Linked DNA regions of Bombyx mori. The protein of the gene in region 1 binds, or shares a complex with, the protein of each later gene. Links are inferred from orthologs where the notes say so. Each region holds a gene or a part of one and is shown in the gene's direction. Other genes may lie near its edges. The genes, in order: cell cycle checkpoint protein RAD1, cell cycle checkpoint control protein RAD9A and checkpoint protein HUS1.

Region 1 (4,250 bases):
TTTCCTTTCATTTCATTTCATGCCATGTTTCATATTAATCAACTTCATTTCATTAATTTTTTGTTAATAAGTTTTTGTTAATAATAAACGATAAATTATTAAAATTTCATTAATAATATCATTTTTTTTATTAAAATTAAAATAAAACTTGACCTAAGGGTCTTAGTTACCAGGTCATAAAATCCCATAAAAAAAAAACATAGGTTTGTCAACTTTTGTATGACAGGTTCATAAAAACTTTAAACTTATTTGGTTAAACTGAGAAGTGTATGTAAATTAAATTAAGCCTCGACCCATCTCCTAGAATTGAGAAATCCATGTAAATTAATGTAAATCTGGTGATTATATTAGCTTTGATTATTATTATGAGGATTTCTGAATCTAAAATACCAGTTATCGCGGAAAGTATTTTGAAACAAATTGAAGCCCGCGTAAAAAATACAAATTCAAATCAACGTAGGTTCGAATCATATTTATTTAAATGATTTAAACTAACAAGAGAAATCGTCCTCAAACTTTAAATTGACATTTCCAAAGCGAAAGTTTTAACTTGTAACTACGAAATTATCAAAGTTAATTAATTGATTAATGTAGTTAAGACATTACACAGTATTATGAAAAAATAAGAACAGCTTATAAGTCTAAAGATTACATTTAACGGTATTTATATTTACAGTTTCAGATGAAGATTTGTTAGCTTTACATTCCATATTCGGTGTAACTTTGCAAAGGTCGCTGGAAATATTAGAAAAGCACCCAAAGTTTATAATTTACACGAATCCAAAAGGCCGAACATTGATCGAAGTTCAAGGGGACAACGGCCGCTGCTATAGAGTGTTCCCGAAAATAAACTTCTGTCCGTGTCTTGCTTTCAAAAACCTTGTTATTGAACGGAAAACTGAGGTTAGTAATGATTCAACACTTCCTGAAGACAAAGGAAATTGTTCGAGACAGCCACAATCTATCATAAATACTGCATACTCAATTGAAGACAGATCCAACTTTAAATTTTCAATTTGATTAAAACTTTTCAAACGTTCCAATTTTGTTTAAAAAATTTCTAGTTTTATTAACAAAACCATTTAATTTTCATAATAATTTAACCAAAACAAAACATGTAAGTTGATTTAATGGTATTCTTTGAGAATACATACATTTCATTGAGAGACTTCTTTAAAGTTAATTAAATATAAATAAAGGTGAAACAAAAACAGTAAAATGGTCTTGTTCTGAATAATATATTTATTTATTTATCAGGTCACATGTAAACACGTTTTGGCAGCTAGACTGGCCCAAATATTAGAGCGGACCAGCCCACATTCAGTTACACATGATCAATACCTGATGTTATTGAAGTCCATGTTTGACCTGACAGAAGAAAATGGCTGAAGATTCATCTCAATACCATTTCACGGCTAGCATGGACTCCGGAAAGACTCTGTGTAGTTTATTAAAAGCAATACAGTTTCAAGAGGTAGTCTATGATGTGAATACTGAGTTATTTTTCTTAGTACATTTGAAATGCATTTAAATTCACTCAGAAGTATTTTTGTTATATGTCTCCCAATTAATTAATAGAAAATAAATTTGAAATTTTTATTTAAAAAATTTAATATTATATTTTTTTTTTATTGCATAGATGCGTGGATGATCTCACAGCCCACCTGGTGTTAAGTGGTCACTGGAGCCCATAGACATATACAACGTAAATGCGCCACCCACCTTGAGATATAAGTTCTAAGGTCTCAAGTATAGTTACAGCGGCTGTCCCACCCTTTAAACTGACACGCATTACTGTTTCACTGCAGAAATAGGTAGGGTGGTGGACCCTACCACTACCCGCGTGGACTCACAAGAGGTCCTACCACCAGTAAAAGTAAAGTCAAGGGGGGAAAGGCTGTATGGTTTAGGCAACATTTCGGTTACTATTTATTTTTGGAATTTAAAGTGCGTTTTATTTAGCAGTGGCATCAACAGCTTGTTGCTTTTAATTGAACTTCAATTAAGTTGACTCCATTCAAATAGATGAAGATGTTTCTTGGTCATGATATTTTTTCTAAATTTTAAACTTTACATGGCTTGCCTGTAAAGTTGCAAATATGTCGCTTAAACCAAATAGCTTTTCACCTGTCGAAATGTTTATTAAAACCAATAATGTAGTATGTATGGTACATCTTTTTGGTACAATGCTGTAATTATTATCGGTTTTACAGTATCAGTTGGATTTGATATAAGTATTATTATGAACTTCTAAAATACAAGCAAGCAAAATATAGTCATGAATCTCCAATTAATTGTTTAAATAGTTACTCGCATTTATTTAAATGGGTGGTAAGTATTAAATTATCAATGCCTTTTATTTCAGTCAGCAGTGTTCTGTGCTCTACCTGAAGGTTTGAAGTTAACAGTGGAGGAAGGCAAGTGTGTTCAAGCCTCAGCTTATATACCGGCTGACAACTTCACAGAATACCATGTTAGGGATGATGTAGATGTCATATTTAAGGTTGGAATACACAAATATAAAATATATTAGCTGTCCACAATCCTCGAATTCAAACTTAAATCATTCATTTTAAATTCAATATATATTAACTTAACAAGACATACTTCTTGATTATCAATTATAGCTGTTTTTTAGTGTTCTTATAAAAATTATAGGTTCACCTTGATTGAAATACTATAATGATAATTTTCAATGCACCTCAAAACGATGCCTCCAATGAACACTACGCTAACTCCTAATTCGTAGATTTACAGGAGGAGCGTTTAAATGAAAAAAGTTGATTCTGAATGATGAAAAATCTTTATTATTGCAGATATATTTATGTTTTTTTTGTGTAACTAGCTGATTTAGTCTTGCTTCGAACCCCATCAATAATGATTAATTGTAATACTTTTATCATAGTGAAGCGATTTGCAAGAAAAACGAAAAATTCAAAATTTTGAGTTAGAGTAGTGTTCATTGGAGGCATCGAAAATTACAAATAAAAAAATACAAAATTAACAAATCTGGTACAGACTCAATCTGATCCTGTCATCTGTTAGATAATTAGCAACTTTACAGTATACATTACTGCACAAATAAACTTTGATAAATTAGTTAAGCCTATGTACAAATAATTGAATATCTACTTGTACTTTTGTAACTCCTCATAATTCCTATCTAAGTTTATCAAAATAAGACCCACCATTTCAAAGGAGAATGGAAGAGTCAAAATTCAAACCAAGTCATTCATGAATCTTATTTGATGTATGCTGTGTGTCTCTATGTATGTTCAGTATAAACATTTTTTTGTATGTTTCAGATCAGCTTAGCAGTTTTAGCAGAATGCTTAAACATATTTGGCTCGGGTGAAGAGGCCAGCTTGAAAATGTATTACAAATGTGAAGGATCCCCGCTGTTACTTGTGTAAGTTTATACATCAGGATAATCTCCTTTGACGAGCTTACATGGAAGCTGACAACACCAAATTCCTGGTGTGCTCAGCAACTAAAAAAGAGTTCTTAAATGCAGAAAAGGTACAGTCTGTTTGTATCTACATTAGCAACTTGGGTGCAATAAGGATGAGCTAAAGTATCTCCGCAATATCTATTGAGAGGATTTTACATCGTCATAGCCTCTTAATAAAAAAATATTATTACTATTGCCGGTAAGAGTAACGCCATCTATTATCAAATATCAAAAACACATATAAAGTGACTAATATTATCGGGAATGTTCTCGATAATGGTAGACTTGTTTTGTCGACCATAAAAGCGTTGCAGAGATAAAATGAAGGCTCGGCGAGTCAATTGACCCATAGACACAGCCCATTGAGTTTCTCGCCGGATCTTCTCAGTGAGTCGCGCTTCCGATCCGGTGGTAGATTCTGCGAAGCACTGCTCTTGCTAGGGTTAGTGTTAGCTAGTCTTCAGGTTAGAGCCCCGTGAGCTCACCTACCCTTTCGACGAATCTAATATGACCCCTCTAGGTCATTAGATTTAGAATAGGTAGAAAAAAAAGCAATGGTTGTCATGTACTAAAAATCAGGAGCTATAAAAACACTCTCGTATCAGCTTACAGCCTCAGTCGTTTCGTAACGTCATGACGGACTGCGAGATATGGAGCCAGACCCCAGATTCGATGCTGGAGCTTCGCAGTCCCGAGGAGACGGACGTGGCGAAGCTCGTGGTCCGCGCCGGAGCCCTACTCGCAGTACTGGGGGACGTCGAGAGGAGTGCCGATGTCTTGGAGTTGAGGTTGCAGCCTG
Region 2 (3,495 bases), about 2.0 Mb from region 1:
TACTCACTTAGCGATAACTAACTGTAATTATGATTCGAAAGTCCTGCCTATTGCTATTGTGACCAGATAAATATTAAAAAACCCTCTTTTAAAATAATTTATATATACATGCATACCGTAATTTCACAATAGATTTTATATGATTATCATTCACCCTAATACACAATAAAAAAGAGGATGGTTTGTTTATTTCTACTTTGTATCTGTTGTTTAATATAACCATAGGGTAGTATAAAATAGGTAATTTATTATTAAACAATAATAAATAAATTAACATTTTCTCTTCCTCTTTATTGATTTTGTTACAATGGTACTAAATAAAAAAATGTGTGCGTGTACTAGTGTACACACGTAAGAAGTGAAACTTGTTTATGGCCTTATTTTTCGAAAAATGATCTACATGCAACTTTCTAGAAATTGGTTAAATAAAGTTAAATTAGATAAAGTTTAAACAAAAGGATTTTATTATCATAGACAATAGACATGAATACAAATAATACAATTATTTCACTTTACCTTTTTGCTACTAAGATTATTACAGCATTTTAATAATACATCTCTTTGATATCATAATACCCTGGTACTTTTCTTCCTATAAATTAATAATAATAGCACGGTCCACGTGGTGTTAAATGGGGTTCCTGAGGTTCGTGAAGTTTGACCCACCTTGAGACATGAGGTCGATTTCTCAAATCCGAAACCATGCTTCAGAACATACCGCCGTTAATTATTAATAAATCTCTTTGCTATCATAATACCCTGGTACTTTTCTTCCTATTATTTTACGTAATAACAGTAATAAATAGCACGGTCCACGTGATATTATTAAGTGGGCTCCCTGAGATTATTGGAATTACAAAATGATTTCCGTAATCCACCTGGAGACATGAGGTCAATTTCTCAAATCGGAATCCATACTTCAGAACATACAGCCGTTAATTAATAAAGAAGGCTGTACGTCAGAGTAAAGTTATAATAATACATCTCTTTGATATCATAATACCCTGGTACTTTTCTTCCTATTATTTTACGTAATAACAATAATAGCACGGTCCACGTGATATTAAGTGGGTTACCTGGGATTATTGCAATTACAAAATGTATTCCGTGACCCACCTTGAGACATGAGGTCGGTTTCTCAAATGCGCATCTATACTTCAGAACATACAGCCGTTAATTAAAAGATGGCGCGTAACGGAAAAAAGTGACGCGTAACCGAAAAACGTGACGGTAAATTTTTTTCCAACGCCGATAAGGAAGTTTCACTTCAAAAATATTTCTGTATAGTCAAACCATCAATAGTCAATCTATCAATATGTAGAATAGTTTATAAATATTTACAGTACAATTTTTAAAATAATCATGTGGATTAATTTTCTTTGGATCATTTGGATCATTAAATTGTCGTCGCATCACGAGAACTGTCAAATATCTGTCACTCGTATCATCCTAATAATACCTGGTATCTCAGTAGGTCAGGATCAGGAAATTAGACAAAAAATTATAGTGAAAACATAGGTAATCCTTATATTGATGTTAAAGCCTAGAAATGAATTTAAAGTAGATTTTAGTTAACTTTCTGAGGAAGTCAACATAACAATGAAGTGTCACGTTCCGGGGCCTAATGTTAAAGGTAATATAAAGTGTGTGTTATCAATACTGAAATTATGCTGGCTCGGAAACGAATATAATTTTTATATAATTTTAGTTTTAGCAAGAACAGTACATACCTTAGCTCGATTTGGAGATGAATTATACCTGGAGTCATTACCCGACTGTATATTATTGAGAACATTGAATGCAGCCGAATCCGCATATGCGATGATTAAATTTAACAAAAACTTCTTTTCTTATTTTAATTACAATTATTACTCGACTGAAGATAACGAAGGTCTGAAATGCAAAATATCGATGAAGTCTGCTTTAAACGCCTTTAAATCTCCAGCTCACATTGATAAACAGGTAGAAAGTTTGGAAATGAAATTAGATCCAGAATCTTGCAAGTTAATATTTTGTTTGAAATGCAAGCATGGTATAGTTAAGACACATTTTGTATCAATATTAGACTGTAAAGCGATGCAGGCTGTGTACACTAAAGATACAGTACCAAACAGGTAAAAATTGTAACCAAAATAAAATATTAATTTATTTTTATCACTGTTAGATTGTAATGAAATATTTTTCAGAATTACTTCACCTCAAAGAATACTAAACGAAACACTGAACAGCTTCCAAACCTCTGACGACCAAGTGACATTAGAGGCCACAACTAAGTCACTGGTAATAAAAAATTATATTGATAGTAATATGGATCTGACAAAAATAATTCGAACACATGTAAGCTTAGATCCTGCTGAATTTGACAACTACATCATAGGAGAGGAAACCACTATAACATTTACATTAAAAGAGTTCAGAGCCCTACTTGCGTTTGCTGAAGCATTAAATTTGCCGTTGCAACTTCATTTTGAGACTACAGGTCGTCCAGCTGTATTCATAGTCCATAATGGAACTACTTTTGAAGCACATTTTGTGTTAGCAACATCTAAACCAGACAATGCAACACAAGCAACATCAACACAGAGCACTACCACAAAGGAAAGGAATAAAAGAAAAGATACATGTAATACTCAAGGCTCAGTAAAAAAGAAACGGCATATAGATGTTGAATTTTCTAAGTGCTTAGAAGAGGACTCTCATCTATTTAATTTTGTTGATATCCCTGATGATATAAATCTTAAAGCTAGTAATAATTTAGATAATGTTAAAGAACAAATAGACTTTGATAATGTTATTCCAGCATCTCCAACTTCAAGGACTAAGATAAAATCAGTATTTAAGAGATGTTTTGAAAGTACTTTTGATCCAAAAAGTATTCAAGGTGTCATTTTAGCTGAGAATTCAGACAGTGAATAAAAAAATAATGTTTTTAAAGTTGTTTGAAAGCAGATTAAAAAAAATTAAAATATTCCCAATTTTCATCAATATTATCTTATCTAATTTTCAGCAATATAATATGGTCTTATTACATTTGTTGGGAGACTCATAAACCACTTCAAAGATTATGGCTGATGTTTGGTTAATAATTTTGATTAGAGATCTCCCCACAAAATAATATGATTTATATTTTTTATGTTTTCTTAAAGGCATAAAAGGATTCAAATAAAATATAGAGTTCACTGCATTGATTTTATAGCAAAAAATATACATACAGAGAAACAGTATACACACATTACAAATCAACGATCATGATGTAGACCAAAATAGGGGTTCATCACTATGCATTTCTCACTATATATGTATTTATCTCGGTAACAATATGTATTGATTTTATATAAAGCGTATGTTTAAGACACCATCTCAACTCTTTGAAACAAGATACAAAACTCAAAAGCTTAATGATTTAAAAAAACCTACTTCATTGCTTTAAGGCAAAGTGAAATTGATACAATTTTTACAGAAAGTAGTTTTTATTTATTGAAAGTATTAGGTATT
Region 3 (4,353 bases), on another chromosome or scaffold:
ATAGTATAACCACAATTCGTTAGTTTTCGTTACACTCAAAATGGAACATCGCTTACCTTTTTTCGCATACCGTAAAACTCTCGTGCAAGATAGAGACAAATACCTAACCGTAAACAGAAACTTGTCAACATGGATGACATGTTAGCGCCATCTACCTTCAAGACCAGTGACGTTTGTACTCTATGGTCAAAGCTGCCAGATCGCAAAGGAATGGATTCGACTAAATCAAGTTCAAATCATCATCATTCAATCATCAAAAGATACATTTATTAAAAATAATTATCAGTTGAATACATCTAAAATATTCTATTCAACTGATAATTACTTCGAACCAACCATTATTAAAAACGCGATTATTATTATTTAGTCCGCAAATGACCCATGGTACAATGATTCAAGTACCGACAGTCATAATGGTCTGTTAATGCCTTCAGGATGCTGTTAGGGCTGACCCGGACCCGGCGAATCAGGGATGTGCATCTTTTCCGCATGGTCTTAAAGAATCAATCGACTCGTGCTTCGGCGAACATTATAACATTATAACAAGTAGGTACCACCACCCTGCCTATTTTCTGCGGTGAAATCGTAATGCGTTTCGGTTTTGTATTGTGGGGCAGCCATTATAACTATACTTGGGATCTTAGAACTTATATCTCAAGGTGGGTGCATTTACGTTGTCCTTGGGCTCCAGTAACCACTTAACACCAGGTGGGCTGTGAGCTCGTCTATCCATCTAAGCAATAAAGGCTGAATCTTGTTAACAACATTTTCAAGATAAATTTGCATAGATACGAGTTTCGAACCACAACATTAGAACCGTTAGTCTACCGAGCAATTTTATCCGCTCGGTGTAAGATCTTACCTTTTTTGTTAACACCCAAACTACTAAACTCTGTGATAGAGACAGTTACATGTAAATGTATGCACCTATACCTACATATTAAATATTTATCATCGCCAATATTAACACACATTCTTTACAATAGAACGAATTTTGTATCAAACTTCGTCTCACGCTGAAAAGATACTCTGATCTTTTCTTTTAGGTGCTTCCGGCTCACGTAGTATATCCTATACGTACAGATGTAGCAGATTCAGACTGGCGTAAACGAGAGTTTTCTTCTTTAACAGAAGATGATCAACAAAAACGGTAGAAATATCCTAATATTTTCTTACGAGCATCATTCTACATTTAGGGACTAAATCAATTGGCTCTGTAAGATACCTTAAGCACACATTCCGAAAAACTTTAATTAGCTAAAAGTCTCTGTTATTTAAAACACCGTTTAGCAAGAATGTTTAAAATTACAAATTGAATATTGTAGGAGCATTCTTGTCAAAGATCAAAGCCATTACTTATTTCTCGGCTTTCTTAACAGTTTCATCGGGGTATCTCATTATTATTAGTTCACAGAAACTACAGCTGGATAGCCTTCGTTACTTATTCTCAATGAACCAAAATGTTTGCATCATGAAATCACCTTTGCACTTTAAGTCGATTTCAATACTGATAAGAGTTTTTGTGCAGTTGCAATACTAGCCAAATCTATATTGTCAATGCTCACTCAATTTTCGCGCTGCCTAAGTTTTGAAAACAACACAGTATTGGAAAAATAAAACATAAATTACATGTCGAAACTGTGTTTAGTTACTAATTATTATATATCTTAAAATAGTGTGCAATTCATCATCTCATTTTGCACGAATTAAACAACTGTTTTCAAAAGACGAAAAACATATCACTATGAAATTCCGTGCTGTTATGAATAACTCTTCTCCAATACGCGAATTCTCAAGTAAAACTCCGCTTTAATGGTGTTGCTTACTAGTTTTTGATTATTGTAACCAGAATTTTGTTTTCAGCTATTGTTAGTACAATATCAAAACTGTCTAAGGAGTGTGTCCTAAGGATAGCAGACGATATGTTGTATTTCATTGTCAGCGATGAAAACACTGGACCAGCCCCTCCGGTACTATGGTGTGAAATACCACAAAGTGTATTTTTCTCTGAATATCAATTGGTTGGAATGGATGAAACTCACCAAGACATTTATTTAGGATTGAATTCGGGTATTATAATTTCCATTAAAAAGTGCTATGATAAAATAAATAAATTATTCTTGGTGAATATTTCCAATATCAAATGTTTAGATATTGATAATCATTGATATTAACTTAATAGCCATTAAGTTTAAAAAAGTGGTGATCTTCATTCAGGTACATCTTAAATAAATAATAAATTGTTGTTTTCCCAATACCATTTAAAGTTTCATGGTGTCTAGAAATATATAAAATAAAAAAATTTAAAATATAAAGAGTGGAAAAATTTTAGGACTAGCTGACCTTAAGCTTATGCTTAAGATGCCAGACTTCCAGACCCTTAGGGGTTATAATCAGATATTAGAAATCATTGTTTACTTGCACTCCAAAATGTTTTAAATGATAATCATGCAATATTAATAGCTTAAACCTCTTTTCACATGTATTTATATTTTGCCTAGCATTCTTTGTTTAATACACTGTTCAACATAGAGAAAATTAAATAACAATAAACATAAGAGACAATTGAACACAAATGTAATTTAAGTGTTTGGCATGGTTAGGTTGTGTGTGTTAGGTGTTATCTGTAAGATTTTGGTGTTTGTGTGTAGGAATTAGCAGTTTATAAACAGTTCTGAAACTGTTCGTTTTTTATGACAATGTGTTGCACTTTTTTTTTACTTAGATGGGTGGACCAGTTAAGTGGTTACTGGAGCCCATAGACATCCACAATGTAAATGCGTCACCCACCTTGAGATATAACTTCTAAGGTCTCAAGTATAGTTACAACGGCTGGCCAGCCCTTCAAACCGAAACGCATTACTGCTTCACGGCAGAAATAGGCAGGGCGGTGGTACCTACCCGTGCGGACTCACAAGAGGTCCTACCACCAGTGTACTTAAAGTAAAATAATCAACAGTATCTTAGATACTTATTTATATTGAATACTTGAGGACTGTTAGATCGTTTTCCAAGTTATCATAGTTAGTTCTTGTAACCAATCCATCAATTTCATTATGCATCATTTAGTTTAGTTTGCCAAATCACAAAAAACCCTTGATTTTCCTGTAACAACCACCCCTATAGCAAAGTATCAATAACAATGCTTTAAAAATAAATATTACAGACAGACAGACAAAAAATCATGTTACTGTGCAGTAAATTACTATAAGGAATGTTGAATTTTAATGTGTTCCTTTTTTATTGCTAATAAACAGAATCATGGCCCCTCTAAAGCCCATCATCATTCGTGAATATCAGTAATACTAGGAGCATGGCTGTGGCAGATAGCAAAATTGTAAAATGCCGTAATACAACTTACTGTAATTTTCAGGTAATCTCGCAAGATCTTTTGTCTCCTTGAAAAATGTAAAATCATTAAAAATGAAGTTAACAAAGAAACAGTGTCCGTGCCTAACATTGGAAATTGAAGTGGTATGCTTTTAATAAATAGCACCTGTTCACTTATGACTTGGTTAATGTAGACCTAGGAATGACCTTAATAAAATGAAGCCCCACGGATTTGTTAATATGTAACACATTAGAAATCTTGAGTCTTCTAATTGTTGCCTTTATCCCGTAGTGTAGAGGACCTATTCATTCATGTCAGCATGTCCTCTTTCTCTATTCAGACCTATCATACGTTATCTCTGCACTCACACCCTTCTCTCACATGTGCTCTTTCACGCAGTCCATCCAAGTGTTATTAGGCGGTCCCTCATTAGAAATGTTCACTATTAATATTTATTTAGTAACTAGTGAAATTAAATCGCCCTCTGCCGGTACTATTCTTAATTGATTTCCACCTAGTTGATTTATATTCTAAATACTATTGCAAGTTTCATAAGATGTAGAATGTAAGAATGTGTAAAAAACATGCATTCATTTTTATTGAAATCAAAGACTACACTAATGTTGTAAGTATCAAGTTCCAGTATAGTGCTTATTTCGATTTTTAAACAATCAAACGCACCCCCGCCTTTGGATTAAAATTTGTCAATACTATTTGAAAGTGTTGTGTTTATTCACAGTGCATTTGCAGAGATATTTTCCACATACCATCTGGTTCTGCAATTAACTCACCCCTTTCCTTAGCGCTATGACATGTGCTTCTTCAAACAAGGCTTACAAAGAGTACTTAGCGGTTGCAACTTGGCTGTGCCTCTGGCATTGCTGACATTGCTTCATGTATGAGGGCAACTACTCCCCATCAGGTGTCCACAAGCCTGTCTGTTTACAAAGGCCATAAAAAACGCTGCATTGCTATTTGCATCTTGTTAGTCTTCAGTCGTGTCTAATAAAATCAGGTAAAGT

The links.
Region 2: the proteins of cell cycle checkpoint protein RAD1 (region 1) and cell cycle checkpoint control protein RAD9A are in contact, whole or in part, in a crystal structure (PDB 3GGR), measured with the Homo sapiens proteins. The link is inferred for Bombyx mori from reciprocal best matches to the Homo sapiens genes RAD1 and RAD9A. Residues at the interface, in NP_002844.1 of Homo sapiens: Glu165, Ala166, Ser168, Glu169, Asn195, Ala196, Gly197, Ser198, Ser199, His200, Leu201, Asp202, Tyr203, Pro204, Asp206, Ser207, Glu211; in NP_004575.1 of Homo sapiens: Leu76, Ser82, Val83, Ser86, Leu90, Lys92, Leu112, Phe116, Gly117, Val118, Arg119, Lys120, Thr121, His122, Asn123, Leu124.
Region 3: the proteins of cell cycle checkpoint protein RAD1 (region 1) and checkpoint protein HUS1 are in contact, whole or in part, in a crystal structure (PDB 8GNN), measured with the Homo sapiens proteins. The link is inferred for Bombyx mori from reciprocal best matches to the Homo sapiens genes RAD1 and HUS1. Residues at the interface, in NP_002844.1 of Homo sapiens: Asn85, Val88, Asp91, Cys92, Ser94, Ile95, Phe96, Gly97, Ser98, Gly127, Val128, Val129, Thr130, Val131, Cys132, Lys133, Ile134, Asn135, Gln137; in NP_004498.1 of Homo sapiens: Thr165, Ser168, Val169, Lys172, Met173, Asn175, Ile176, Glu197, Leu198, Val199, Cys200, Val201, Thr202, Thr203, His204, Phe205, Lys206.

The regions. Positions count from the first base shown.
Region 1 is NC_085122.1:11,566,863-11,571,112, forward strand, and holds the start of cell cycle checkpoint protein RAD1, read left to right. Parts: upstream 1-1,381; coding exon 1,382-1,474; exon of another isoform or gene 1,475-1,613; intron 1,614-2,365; coding exon 2,366-2,503; intron 2,504-3,305; coding exon 3,306-3,409; intron 3,410-4,056; coding exon 4,057-4,250. Other genes in the region: zinc finger SWIM domain-containing protein 7-like, read left to right, coding at 366-456, 677-903, 1,258-1,389. UniProt on the Homo sapiens protein: Component of the 9-1-1 cell-cycle checkpoint response complex that plays a major role in DNA repair. The 9-1-1 complex is recruited to DNA lesion upon damage by the RAD17-replication factor C (RFC) clamp loader complex.
Region 2 is NC_085122.1:9,591,739-9,595,233, reverse strand, and holds cell cycle checkpoint control protein RAD9A, read left to right. Parts: upstream 1-1,258; 5' UTR 1,259-1,599; coding exon 1,600-1,633; intron 1,634-1,708; coding exon 1,709-2,114; intron 2,115-2,186; coding exon 2,187-2,916; 3' UTR 2,917-2,985; downstream 2,986-3,495. UniProt on the Homo sapiens protein: Component of the 9-1-1 cell-cycle checkpoint response complex that plays a major role in DNA repair. The 9-1-1 complex is recruited to DNA lesion upon damage by the RAD17-replication factor C (RFC) clamp loader complex.
Region 3 is NC_085134.1:9,690,710-9,695,062, forward strand, and holds the start of checkpoint protein HUS1, read left to right. Parts: upstream 1-1,526; 5' UTR 1,527-1,744; coding exon 1,745-1,796; intron 1,797-1,849; exon of another isoform or gene 1,850-1,863; coding exon 1,864-2,070; intron 2,071-3,373; coding exon 3,374-3,474; intron 3,475-4,353. UniProt on the Homo sapiens protein: Component of the 9-1-1 cell-cycle checkpoint response complex that plays a major role in DNA repair. The 9-1-1 complex is recruited to DNA lesion upon damage by the RAD17-replication factor C (RFC) clamp loader complex.